Danio rerio: one gene and its partner. The main gene of each other region encodes a partner of the protein of the gene in region 2 in a complex. Links are inferred from orthologs where the notes say so. Each region holds a gene or a part of one and is shown on either strand. Other genes may lie near its edges.

What was found.
Region 1: vti1b (region 2) and bet1l share a complex: the UniProt entries of both Homo sapiens proteins name them as parts of the SNARE complex. The link is inferred for Danio rerio from reciprocal best matches to the Homo sapiens genes VTI1B and BET1L.

The regions. Positions count from the first base shown.
Region 1 is NC_133200.1:8,367,608-8,373,838, forward strand, and holds the end of bet1l (BET1-like protein), read right to left. Parts: 5' UTR 6,204-6,231; coding exon of another isoform or gene 5,967-6,203; intron 5,883-5,966; coding exon of another isoform or gene 5,727-5,882; exon of another isoform or gene 5,695-5,726; intron 4,557-5,694; exon of another isoform or gene 4,437-4,556; intron 4,397-4,436; exon of another isoform or gene 4,159-4,396; coding exon of another isoform or gene 4,137-4,158; intron 3,906-4,136; coding exon of another isoform or gene 3,886-3,905; coding exon 3,820-3,885; intron 2,587-3,819; coding exon 2,530-2,586; intron 1,921-2,529; coding exon 1,753-1,920; 3' UTR 1,373-1,752; downstream 1-1,372. Other genes in the region: kcnj11l (potassium inwardly rectifying channel subfamily J member 11, like), read left to right, coding at 5,727-5,882, 5,967-6,203. UniProt on the Homo sapiens protein: Vesicle SNARE required for targeting and fusion of retrograde transport vesicles with the Golgi complex. Required for the integrity of the Golgi complex.
Region 2 is NC_133188.1:36,483,008-36,488,776, forward strand, and holds part of vti1b (vesicle transport through interaction with t-SNAREs homolog 1B), read right to left. Parts: intron 4,577-5,769; coding exon 4,385-4,576; exon of another isoform or gene 2,556-4,384; intron 2,478-2,555; exon of another isoform or gene 1,439-2,477; intron 1-1,438. UniProt on the Homo sapiens protein: V-SNARE that mediates vesicle transport pathways through interactions with t-SNAREs on the target membrane. These interactions are proposed to mediate aspects of the specificity of vesicle trafficking and to promote fusion of the lipid bilayers.

The DNA.
Region 1 (6,231 bases), on a different chromosome or scaffold from region 2:
GTAATGGTCATACTCAACTGAGCCTGGTTTCTCTCAAGGTTTTTTCCCCTTCACTTTCGTCAATTGGTGAAGTTTGGTGCTCGCCGCTGTCTTGCTTGGTTTGGGACTTGTGTAGCAGCAAACATCGATGGATTTGCTCTTCAGTGTTTGAACTTTCAGCAGTGAAAATTAAACCACACTGAACTGAGCTAAACTGACTGGACTGACAGTTTCAATTAACTTGAACTTCTATGTTAAGCGGTTTTGACACAATCCACATTGTAAAAGTGCTATAGAAATAATCAATTCAATTAATGTTTATTTATATAGCGCTTTTACAATGTAGATTGTGTCAAAACAGCTTTACATTTAAGCTCTAGTAAAGTCCAGTTTTCAGAGTTGAAGTTTAGTTCAGTTCAGTGTGGTTTACATTTCACTGCTGAAGGTTCAAACACTGAAGCGCAAATCCATCGATGCGCAGCTCCACAAGTCCCAAACCAAGCCAGCCAGTGGCGACAGTGGCAAGAGGGGAAAAAATGAATAAATAAAATTCAACAGACGAAGTGAAGGCGACGCAGTGGCGCAGTAGGTAGTGCTGTCGCCTCACAGCAAGAGGGTTGCTGGTTTGAGCCTCGGCTAGGTCAGTTGGCGTTTCTGTGTGGAGTTTGCATGTTCTCCCTGCATTTGAGTGGGTTTCCTCCGGGTGCTTCGGTTTCCCCCACAGTCCAAAGACATGCGGTACAGGTGAATTGGGTAGGCTAAAATTATCCGTAGTGTATGAGTGTGAATGAGTGTGTGTGTGGATGTTTCCCAGGGATGGGTTGTGGCTGGAAGGGCATCCACTGCGTAAAAACATGCTGGATGAGTTCAATTTGCTGTGGCGACCCCGGATTAATAAAGGGACCAAGCCGACAAGGAAATGAATGAATAAATGAATAATGAAGTGAAGGGAAAAAAAACCTCAAGAGAAACCAGGCTCTGTTAGGCATGACCATTTTTCATCTGCCCGAACTTCTTGTGTGGAGCTGCAATTTAGGCTACGGAGGCTGGAGAACGTTGGACGTCCATCGTGGAGAAGCTGCAGGTGTGAGTAGGTCACGGGGGGTGATCAGGCTGGCCCACAGGATTGGTGCGGGGACTTGTGTGCCATTGTGGTCTTTCAGGAATCAGTCTCATGCACTCCCCTCCTCTATGACCACCACAGCATCAGCTCAACACAAACATAAACATAAAATGAATTGATGAACTTATTATTTTCCAATTAAAATATACAGATTAATGTAAATAAACATCATTGATGCTCTTGACAATCAAACAATTTGAAAGAGTTTAAATGTATGCCGTTTATCGAGGCTGGATGGAAAAACACACACAGAAAGAATCATGACATGAAGCATTCGCAATAACATTTTTAATGTACATAATTATCAAAAATTAGTTGCATTTTCTTACATATTTTACAGTGATAAAAATAGAGCTCATGGAAATCAGAAAAGTAAGCTTTTAATCAATCTAATATTGGTCCATGTGGGTTTCTTTGATTGAAGTATGAATAAAAATACACACTGAATAAACTTAATTTTGAACATGTAAACAAAGAGCTTGGAGTTACATGTGATCAACCATTCTCAAACTGCATCTGTTTTCACTTAATAATGATGAAAAAGCATAACCTGTGCGCTTCTCTGAAATCCCCAAATAACAGAGACAATCCCCATAAACTCTCATAGAACTGAGAAACCAGCTTAAAACATGAGCAACCAAAACCACCCATCAGTTCTGCATCCGGGACACCAGATAATAAAGCAGGAAGAAGGCCACAACCAGACCCACGGACACGTAACACAGGATCTTTCTGTTGTCTCGACCCGATCGGACCATTGTGGAAAACCTCTTCACGCTTCCAGTCAACAAACCAGTTGTGCTGAGAAAGTTGGAGTCCTGAGTAAACAAGGATGTAAAAGCACATGATGACGAGTTACAGCCTTCTGCCAACACTGCAAATACAGCATTAACACACTCATGCATACCGTGGCCAAGAGAGATTAACACACTGCAATTTAAGAAAACACATGCAATTACAAAAAACACCAGCAAATTAAGCAAAGATTTTCCACAGGTTGCAAATACTCACAATGCAACCAAATTAAGAATGCAAGCTGCATTTTCTCACAACACAGGCAAATAGCATTGCACACAACAGAAATATTTCAAGGGGAGACTAAAACGTGATGGACTTAGATATTTAGGTTATGGTTATTGAAGCTAATAATATACAAAAGACAAATGGATTGGTGGAATCAGGATGTTAAAATAAACAAAGATCACTTTACTGAGCAATAGTCAAGGCACAATAAGCAAATCCCAGACAGGTCTGTCATGCTTTTGAGTCAACTTAAAACATTTCTGTTGTGTCCAGTGCAGAATGCAGTGTGTTTTCTTTATTTGTTTGCGTTGTGAGGATTTGCTTTCAAACCGATGAAGATTTTTACTTAATTTGCAGGTGCAATTTTTGTAATTGGATATCAGCCACCGTGAATTTACACTTACCATCCCATCCAAATAGGCATTCTGTTCTTCCGCATCTTTGTCAATGTCGTATGCTAGCTGCGAAGGAGAAAACAAAATATAAATGATTTTATTTTAAATAAAATTATATATTTAGATTTTATTAAATGTGTTTATTTAGATCTCCATTAGGCACTTTTTAATGTATTGACTATTCTTCCTGGGGTCCAACAAATAAAATAAAAAAACTTACATCAAATCATCATCAAAACCAATACAAAAAAAAAAACAAAAAACTAATTTATATTAAGATAAAACAACAGAATAAAATACCAAAAAAAAAAAAATACAAATTTACACTAAACCAGAATTATATAAATATAACAAAGCATACAATGTAATTTTTTTTAAAACATCAAAAGTATCAATTAACTAAATATATAAATTAATTATAATAAGACATTATATTAGTCAATGGGTGATTATGATGGAACAGTTCTTGAAAAAAAATCATTTATTTTCAACATTTAATGTGCACTCTCAAAAGGTTTCAACAAAAAACTTTTGTTATAAGAGACAATAAAAACAACAGACAGACAGACAGACAGACTAAATACTTTATGGCAAGAAAATAAATATTTACTACCTCATGACCATTTAAATATGCCAAAATTTTCTTTATAATATTATACATAGAAGTTTTTATGAGAAGCAGATCTAAGAAAACATTTAGATTTTTTGCCTATGCCACCTCTTTCAGAAAAGGAGAAAACCTCAGCCTTGTTCATACCATACACACAAGACACTTTTTTCCACTTGCTGGAATTGAAAAGAAATGCTGAGGGAAATATTTATGTAAAACTGAATCTTTTTAGACTGATGTTTTTAGCTAAATGTTTAGTTTAATAAGAAGTGAAATTGAGGTGAAGTTGGTCTTATATTTGCACATTTGCTCATTTTTGAACAATGACAACTTGTCCCCATGTGGTTTACCATGTTACATTGAAAACTCTGGAGTCTGAAATCGCATGCAAGTATGACTTTAAAACAACATTAGCACTATTTAATTGACTGTGAACAATGTTATACTTTGATAGTTATTGGCTGATAATATGACTTCCACATTTAAAATGTATAAGGGATACTGAAATTATATTATTAAGGAGAATATCTGAATCTCTGAGTATTAAACCAACTTTATTTATACTTGATTTCTGGGAAATTTTAAAACACCATTGAGATTTTCAAAATGCTTTTCAGTGTAGCTCATTATACTCAAAATAATAATAATAATAATAGATTTTAGCAGATCTTGGACTAGTTCTGACTTACAGACTTTAGTCTCGAGACTTTACTGGCCAGATTTTCCGCCATCCGCTTGTTTTCAGCATCCAGCATGTCATCCACAGCTCCATGTCCTGAAAATTACATTATTATTCAATAATTTTGGGCTGTTACAACATTCTCACCTGAACACCTTCATATTTAAGTAAATTTGTTCAGGCAAAATCAACAACCGAAGCTACTGTTAGACAATAAAAGCTTTATAATATTTTAATATCATGTATAATATCATGTAACTTAGCTATAGTACTGCTTAAAAAGTGTAAGAACTGCATATTAAAAGAGAACTGCTACGTGTCACTTACCTCGATTCCATGGATCAGCCATTTTTAAAGAGCTAATCGGCTAACAACCTTCTAAAAATACTCCAAAAGACGCCAAACACCGACGAAAACTATTCTTATTATCCGTAAAAGACGTATAAATGTAATTCGCACACATATAATGTTAATAAAACTGTTGGCAAAAGTAAACAGAGCGCATTTATCCCGAAGAGAACCGCCAAACAGCAGCAGTGTACAGTGAAGCGCAGCTGTCGCGAGGGGATTGTGGGATATGTTTATCCGCCGGTCATTCATTTTTCTATCATAAGGACTCTGTCTGATTGCATAAGCTTCCTAGACTGCCATCTGCTTGCGTTTGGGTTTTAAATGTTTTGTTCGGTTAGTATTATTTTACTAAACGACATCGATATGAAATAAACAGCGCCTGACACTGTTGTGCTGGTAAGCATCTTTATCTTATAAAAAACCTTGATAATCCTGTCATCATGATGGCGATCGTAAAACACAATAATAAAGGATGCATATTGAAATTAAGATTTTTGGATGTCTTAATGCGCTACAATGCATTCAATTAAATGAAGAAAATGTTCTAATATAATGCAAAATAATAATTGAAGGGGATTGAAAAATATTAATCGTTTTAATGCTGATGTTTTAACAGGAATTAGGAGATTGGATGACATTAAGAGCGGTCTATCAGCTACTGTCATCTGAATTCTCATACCGAAAAAAATTGCTTTGAAATATGTAAAATAATCGATGAGCTTACGCGCTTCTTTGATGATGTACAACCAAATTATGATAAAACGTTATAATATATGTATATATTTGAAATAATACATGTATATATTTTATGTTTGAGTGAAACTAAACTATTCAAAATAGCATTGTCGCTCGTGATTAGACAGTTTCATGCCAGTTTTTCCCTTAATAAACGATTACCATTTATTTAATTAAATAATTATATTTTAAATTAGTTAAATATAAAAACTAAAAGAAATATAAATGTAATTGTTTAAAATTATGAATATGCTTTGATATCTGTGCAACTAACAAAAGACAATTTATGAGTTATCTGTTTATGCATAAAATAAACAAAAAAAATAATTAAAATTAAGCTTTAACTATTATATTACGAGTTACATCAAAAATTCTTCGATTTTTATTTATTATAACCTAATAATATAATTTATTAATGTAACCTTTATTATAATGTTATTATAACCTTATTCATTATGTAATTTATAAATGTAACCTTTTGCATTATTATTAGGCAAAACGTTACCTTTAGGTAAAAGATTTTAAAATTATGCAATTCAATGCATATATACTGTAAACCTAATTTATTATTATTATTTTTTTAGCAGTATAAGTAAAACAAAACACTAAATTTAATGATGAATTAATGATAAAATGTAATGTCAAACTGCTTTGTATATTGTTTACATTGTAAAAAGGGCTAAAGAATTAAAGATAAACTAAATTAACTGAAATGTACTTCATAATTTTTTCTTTATTTTTCAAGAAACCCTTAGTGTTACTGTATATTTTAGTTCTTTTTTTTAAATTCCTTCTACAGTGCGGAGCACCAATTGGCCACAAATTGTCATAATGTTGGCCCGCAAAGGTCTTTTGCCTGATGGGTTCTTGTTAACGCGACTCGCTGAAGATGCACAACCCAGCCGCATCCGGCCAAAGTCACAAAGGGCACGTTTTATCACCAAGAGCGGCTCATGTAATGTAGCCCACAAGAATATTCGAGAACAGGTGAGATTTTCCTATCAGTTCTAGGCTAAAGAAAAGTTTCAATTGACTCAGTTGCAGTGTTCATAAGAGATTATTGCTTCTCAGGGTCGGTTTCTCCAAGATGTGTTCACCACCATGGTGGACCTGAAATGGCAGCATTCTTTGCTCATCTTCACCTCAGCGTTCCTCTGCTCCTGGATGCTCTTTGCCATGGTGTGGTGGCTCCTGGCATTCGCTCATGGAGATCTAGAACCTCGAGATCCCAATGAACCCGGACCTGTGCCGTGCGTCACATCCATTCACTCCTTCACTTCTGCTTTTCTGTTCTCCATTGAAGTGCAGGTAAGGATCAATCTGGATAGATATGACT
Region 2 (5,769 bases):
TAGTCTAATATATTCTAACTTCCCAATCCATAATAACTATTAGAGATTATTATTAATTACACCGTATACAATAGTTTTTTTTTTAAGTTTTATATTATTACAATTCGTAACAATTATTCTTAGATGTCTCTGGATAGACAGACAGAGAGAAAGAGAGAGTGAGAGAGAGAGAGAGAGAGAGAGAGAGAGAGAGAGAGAGAGGTAGGTAGGTAGGTTGGTCGGTCGGTCGGTCGGGAGGTAGGTAGGTAGGGAGAGAGGGAGGGAGGTAGGTGGGTGGGTGGGTGGGTGGTTGATTGTTTGGATGGATGGATGGATGGATAGACAGATGGATGGATAGATGGATGGGCAGATAGACGCAGACAGACAGACAGACAGACAGACAGGCAGGCTGGCAGGCTGGCTGGCATGCAGACAGGCAGGCAGGCAGGCAGGCAGGCAGACAGACAGACAGACAGACAGACAGACAGACAGACAGACAGACAGACAGACAGACAGACAGACAGACAGACAGACAGACAGACAGACAGACAGACAGACAGACAGACAGACAGACAGACAGACAGACAGACAGATAGATAGATAGATAGATAGATAGATAGATAGATAGATAGATAGATAGATAGATAGATAGATAGATAGATAGCATAAGCACATGCTGAGTGAAAGGTAACTATTGCCCACTTTTACCATTTTGATTGTAATTTAAAAAAAAAACAAAAACTGTGATGACCTCTCGAAAGAAACAATTGCTGACCTCACTTCCTCAGTTTCATTGAGATCAGAAACAGGTCTCTTGGGACACACAGCATGACCTTGCTTAAGGCCAACTTCTGCATCCGCAACAGAAAAATAAATCACTCCACTGCAGTGTAACAGGCATCTGTGTTTGTATAGATGCAGGGAATTAAACTTTCATCACATACCAGTTTACATACATGTGTGTGGGTGTGGGTACATATGCGTTGAAAAACTGGAAGGATCTGTTTATGATTACAGGTAGCTCATAAAATAAAAACTGTCTAACTACTTGAAAACAACCCCAGGTATTAAAGTGATAATTCACCCCAAAATAAAAAACTCTTTATTTACTCCCCCTGAAGTGGTTCCAAAACTTTATGAGTTTGTTTATTCTGTTGAACACTAAAGAAGTTATTTAGAAGCAAGCTAAAACACGTAACCATTGATTTAACAGAAGAAAATAAGAAGCAGAAATCAAACAGGTCTGGAGCAAGTAAAGGGTGAGTAAAGGAAGACAGATTTTTTAAATTTGTGTGCAAAACTGCATGGATCAATTTATTGAAAATAATGTCTGTTACTGAAATATGCAGTTGAAAACCCATGAAAGATTTGCTATTTGAAAAAAAAAAAACATTAATTTTGGCCTAGGGGGACCTCTGAGTGCGTAATGGTTGATTTTTATTTATTTTTTTATTTTTTTGCAACACAGCTGAAAAAGGTACTGGTACAATGCCACATTGTGCAGCTTTTAATTTTCACAAAAAGAGCAGCGAGAGAATTATTTAGGTCTTCACTGCGAAAGATGAGAAAAGAACAGGACAATACCTTTGCACAAATAAAACTTAGTGCCTTTGCACTTTCCACTTCATCCCTGATGTCTTTGAGGCTTTCAGTAGACAACGGCTAGAGGAAGAGCTTAAAGATGGCGATGGATACAAGCATAGTCTTAAAGAGATACTTGACGAATCAGTAAGTGTACAGTTTAACATCTAGCGTTTCTTCTCCCTGTATTTTCTTAGTATTGATTTCAAACATCTTTTTGAACATTCAAACTTCTTTTGGGAATGATGAACAGCAGAAAAGCCTTAATTCACTTCTTTTGGTATTCTTCAATTGAAAAGCACAACCAAAAGCCTTGCAAAGTGATCACTTTGTCTTTATCTCTGCCTGTCTGTCTGTCTGCCCATTCATCTGCACATCCGTCTGACCATCCATCCATTTATCTATCTGTCTGTCTAGATTTTATTTTCCAAGTTGTGTTGTGGTAAAAACAGCAACATGCACAGCAGCTCACTACCTGATCTCATACAAAGCACACTCTTACCCTTCATGTTATACAGGTGCTGGTCTACATTCAGAATATCTTCAAAAAGTTGATTTCAGTAATTCCACTCAAGAAGTAAAAGTTGTATATTGTATACATTCATTCCACACAGACTGATATATTTCAAGCAATTCTTTTAATTTAATGACAACTTATGAAAACCCTAAATTCAGTATCTCAGAAAATTTGAATATGGTGAAAAGGTTCAGTATTGAAGACACCTGGTGCCACATTCTAATCAGCTAATTAACTCAAAACACCTGCAAAGACCTTTAAATGGTCTCTCCGTTTAGTTTTGTAGGCTACACAATCATGTGGAAGACGGCTGATTACACAGTTTGCCAAAAAATGACCACTATCACCTTGCACAAGGCACAAAAGGTCATTGCATAAGAGGCTGGCTGTTCACAGAGCTCTGGGTCCAGGCACATTACCAGAGAGGTAAAGGGAAAAAAAGATGTGGTAGAAGATTACAAGCATTAGGGATAACTACATCCTGGAGAGTTGAGTAACAAAACTCATTCAAAAATGTGGAGGAGATTCACAAAGAGTGGACTGCAGCTGGAGTCAGTGCTTCAAGAACCACTACGCACAGACGTGTGCAAGACATGGGTGTCAGCTGTCACATTCCTTGTTTCTTTTGAGCAACAGACAGCATCAGAAGTGTCTCGTCTGAGCTAAAGTCTGGACTGCTGCTGAGTGATTTTCCAACAGGACTTGGCACCTGCACACAGTGCCAAAGCAACCAGCACTGCTTTAAGCACCTGTTCTTAATTGGACAGCAAACTCACCCTACCTTAATCCCATAGAAAACCAATAGGTAGGGCCAGACAGAATCTGCAGACATTTTTTTGCTATTTCTGCAGAGAATTTTGGTAAAAAATCTGCGGATTTCTGCTGGATTATTTTGGGAGTATAATGACTAAAACCTTAATATGTGATTATAATAATACCTTTTTAACTTTTATTTAATTTTTAAAATGCAAATCCAATCAGATTCACTTTATTTGGTAAACAAGGTAAGTCTTTCATATAATATATCTACTAAAAGATAGAAAATATTACATTACAAACTGCACTGTACGTAAATCAGATGAACATTTTCATATTAGTCAACAATATTACTGTAATTAATTTAAAAACTGAATAAACTTAGATTTACTCAAGTAAATAAACAGATTTAATGACGGGCTAAAAATCTGCTGAATTCTGCACGCGCAGATACCATATGGGACTACCAATGGGGTATTGTAAAAAGGAAGATGCAATGTGCCAAACCAAACTATGCAGAAGATCTGAGGGCCACTATCAGAGCAACCTGGGCTCTCATAACACTTGAGCAGTGCCACAGACTTATCAACTCCATGCCACGCCGTAATGCTGCAGTAATATAAAAGTTTTGCTTCTTGAATGGAATTAGTGAAATAAATCAACTTTTTGAAGATAATCTAATTACATGACCAGCACTTGGATTAAGTCATATAAATCCTAATACCCTGAGCTTCTTTTTCATCTTTTTTTTGTCAATCATTTATGAATAACCAGGCAACCAAAAACAATGATCAGCATCAAGTTTTGAGAACTGCACACTATATGCGCTCAGCTTTCAAGCCCTGAGGGGTTTGTCCTGTTGCCATATTATTAACAAACTTAGGTAACAAGTAGTTAAATTCATTGAACTTTTTCAAATCAGCACTACATGTAGCCGGAGGTGAGTGGTGTACTGAGAATCACGTAACACCTCTGGAATGCCAGCAAGGTGTGTCATTAAACAGTACACAGAAGAGATAGAGATCTGTAGTACTCAAAACATACTCATTGTTATGGAACTTCCTGTAGGAATACACATGAGGGGTACAGTGGAGCGGTTCTAGCCAGTTCTAGCCTGAAGAAAATCTAGATCCAGCTGGAAAGATGTAGAAATTCTCCATAATTACTGTTCAAGTGATGTGCACATCATCAATGAGGAGTAAAGCTTTCATTTAACAATACCTTTCTAAACACAACAACACATTCCTGTCTAAACCTAAATAAGGATGGTTTAATAAATTTATCATCAGTAACACTGATTTTTATCATAAAATGAATAGTTCTCTGTTCTCAATAACACACATTTCAACCATGATCTCAGCTGATGTCTGGGGTAATTCATCAAAGAAAGCAGAAATTCTGTCTTAATCTGCATAACCTCAGTGACCTTTCTCTTTCCATGAAACATGGTTTCACAGAAAACATAAATATAACTATTGGACCAGTTCAAAACACATGAGAGTGAGAAAAACCTGAACGGCCTCTTTTAAGAGAGTGATGAGATATACTTACACTCTGGTCATTCTGTGAGGCATAAACACCAAGTCTGCTGTCCCCGAGCTGACCTGTAAGCCCTGGTGTTGCTGATAGCCGAATATCTCTCTGCAGTTTGGCTAGATCTCGTCGGTACAGTCGAATCTTTGTTGACATGGGGGTTCGGAAGGATGATGGAGCACCAAACAGCTCCTGCTCCATACCCTGAAGCTGAGAGAGGTTTTACATGTTTAATGATAAACTCAGAGAAGGCGGCAGACAGTCACTGTTTCTGTTCCTGTGTTTTTACACATAATATCATGCAAAAGTTTGGCGACTTCTCAAAATATTTTTTAAAGAATTGTCATATGCTCATCAAGGCTGCATTCATTTAATCAACAATCCTCTAAAAAAAGTAATACTGTGAAATATGCTTAAACTTTTTCCTCTGCTGTTGTCTTAGAACTTTGTATACACCGGCGTGCACTGTTGTATAACCTTTAAAATAAAGCTGTGAAAATAATTTTAATCCTCATATCTGTTGTGCATTAAGAAACAATCTCATCTTCATCACAAACTCTGTAAACATTTATCAATGTTTAATCAGGACAACTCATTCTTGGCTAAAGTAAAGGGCATATTTTCTATATCTAAAGTACCTGCATAAGTGTAAAATGTTTTAGAATTAAAATGTTTTGGCATTATAGTTGGCCATCTATATAAAATTTACCCAAAAGACAACTGTTGTACCCTAAATGTGTACAGCCTTTATAACAATATGAAAATGATGAATTTTTTCAAATGTTGGGGAAATTTTAGAAGCAATCAAACTTTAAGATAAAGAAATTGTTTATTTCTTTTTTGCTGTTAAAACGGTGTCTGGGTGCCCGGGTCATTTTGACCCATGAGTCAACAGGAGGGTTAAAATTATTGTTTTCTATTTTCTAATATTTTAAAACATAATTTACTTATGTTCTGCTCAAACTGCATTTACTACATGATTTCTTCACGATGCCATGTGAAATTATCAGACAGAATTTACAAATCATTCCAATATGTGATTTGAGCAGATTAACATAACATAAAAACATATTTATATAAACAGAAAAAAAAACTTTATTTTAAACAAAAAATCCCTTGTAACATTTATGGATGTGTGAAATGCAAAGAACAAACATTTATATTGTGTCAACTTACTCATTTATTCAGAAAACACATTAACATGCTGATTTGCTCAGATTATTTATTATATATACATACATACAAACATTTATATATATATATATATATATATATATATATATATATATATATATATATATATATATATATATATATATACACAGAATGTTTTTTATCCTTTGCAGCACTATATCTGTTATTACAGATAATTTTGATCAATTTAAAACATTCTTGTTGTATAA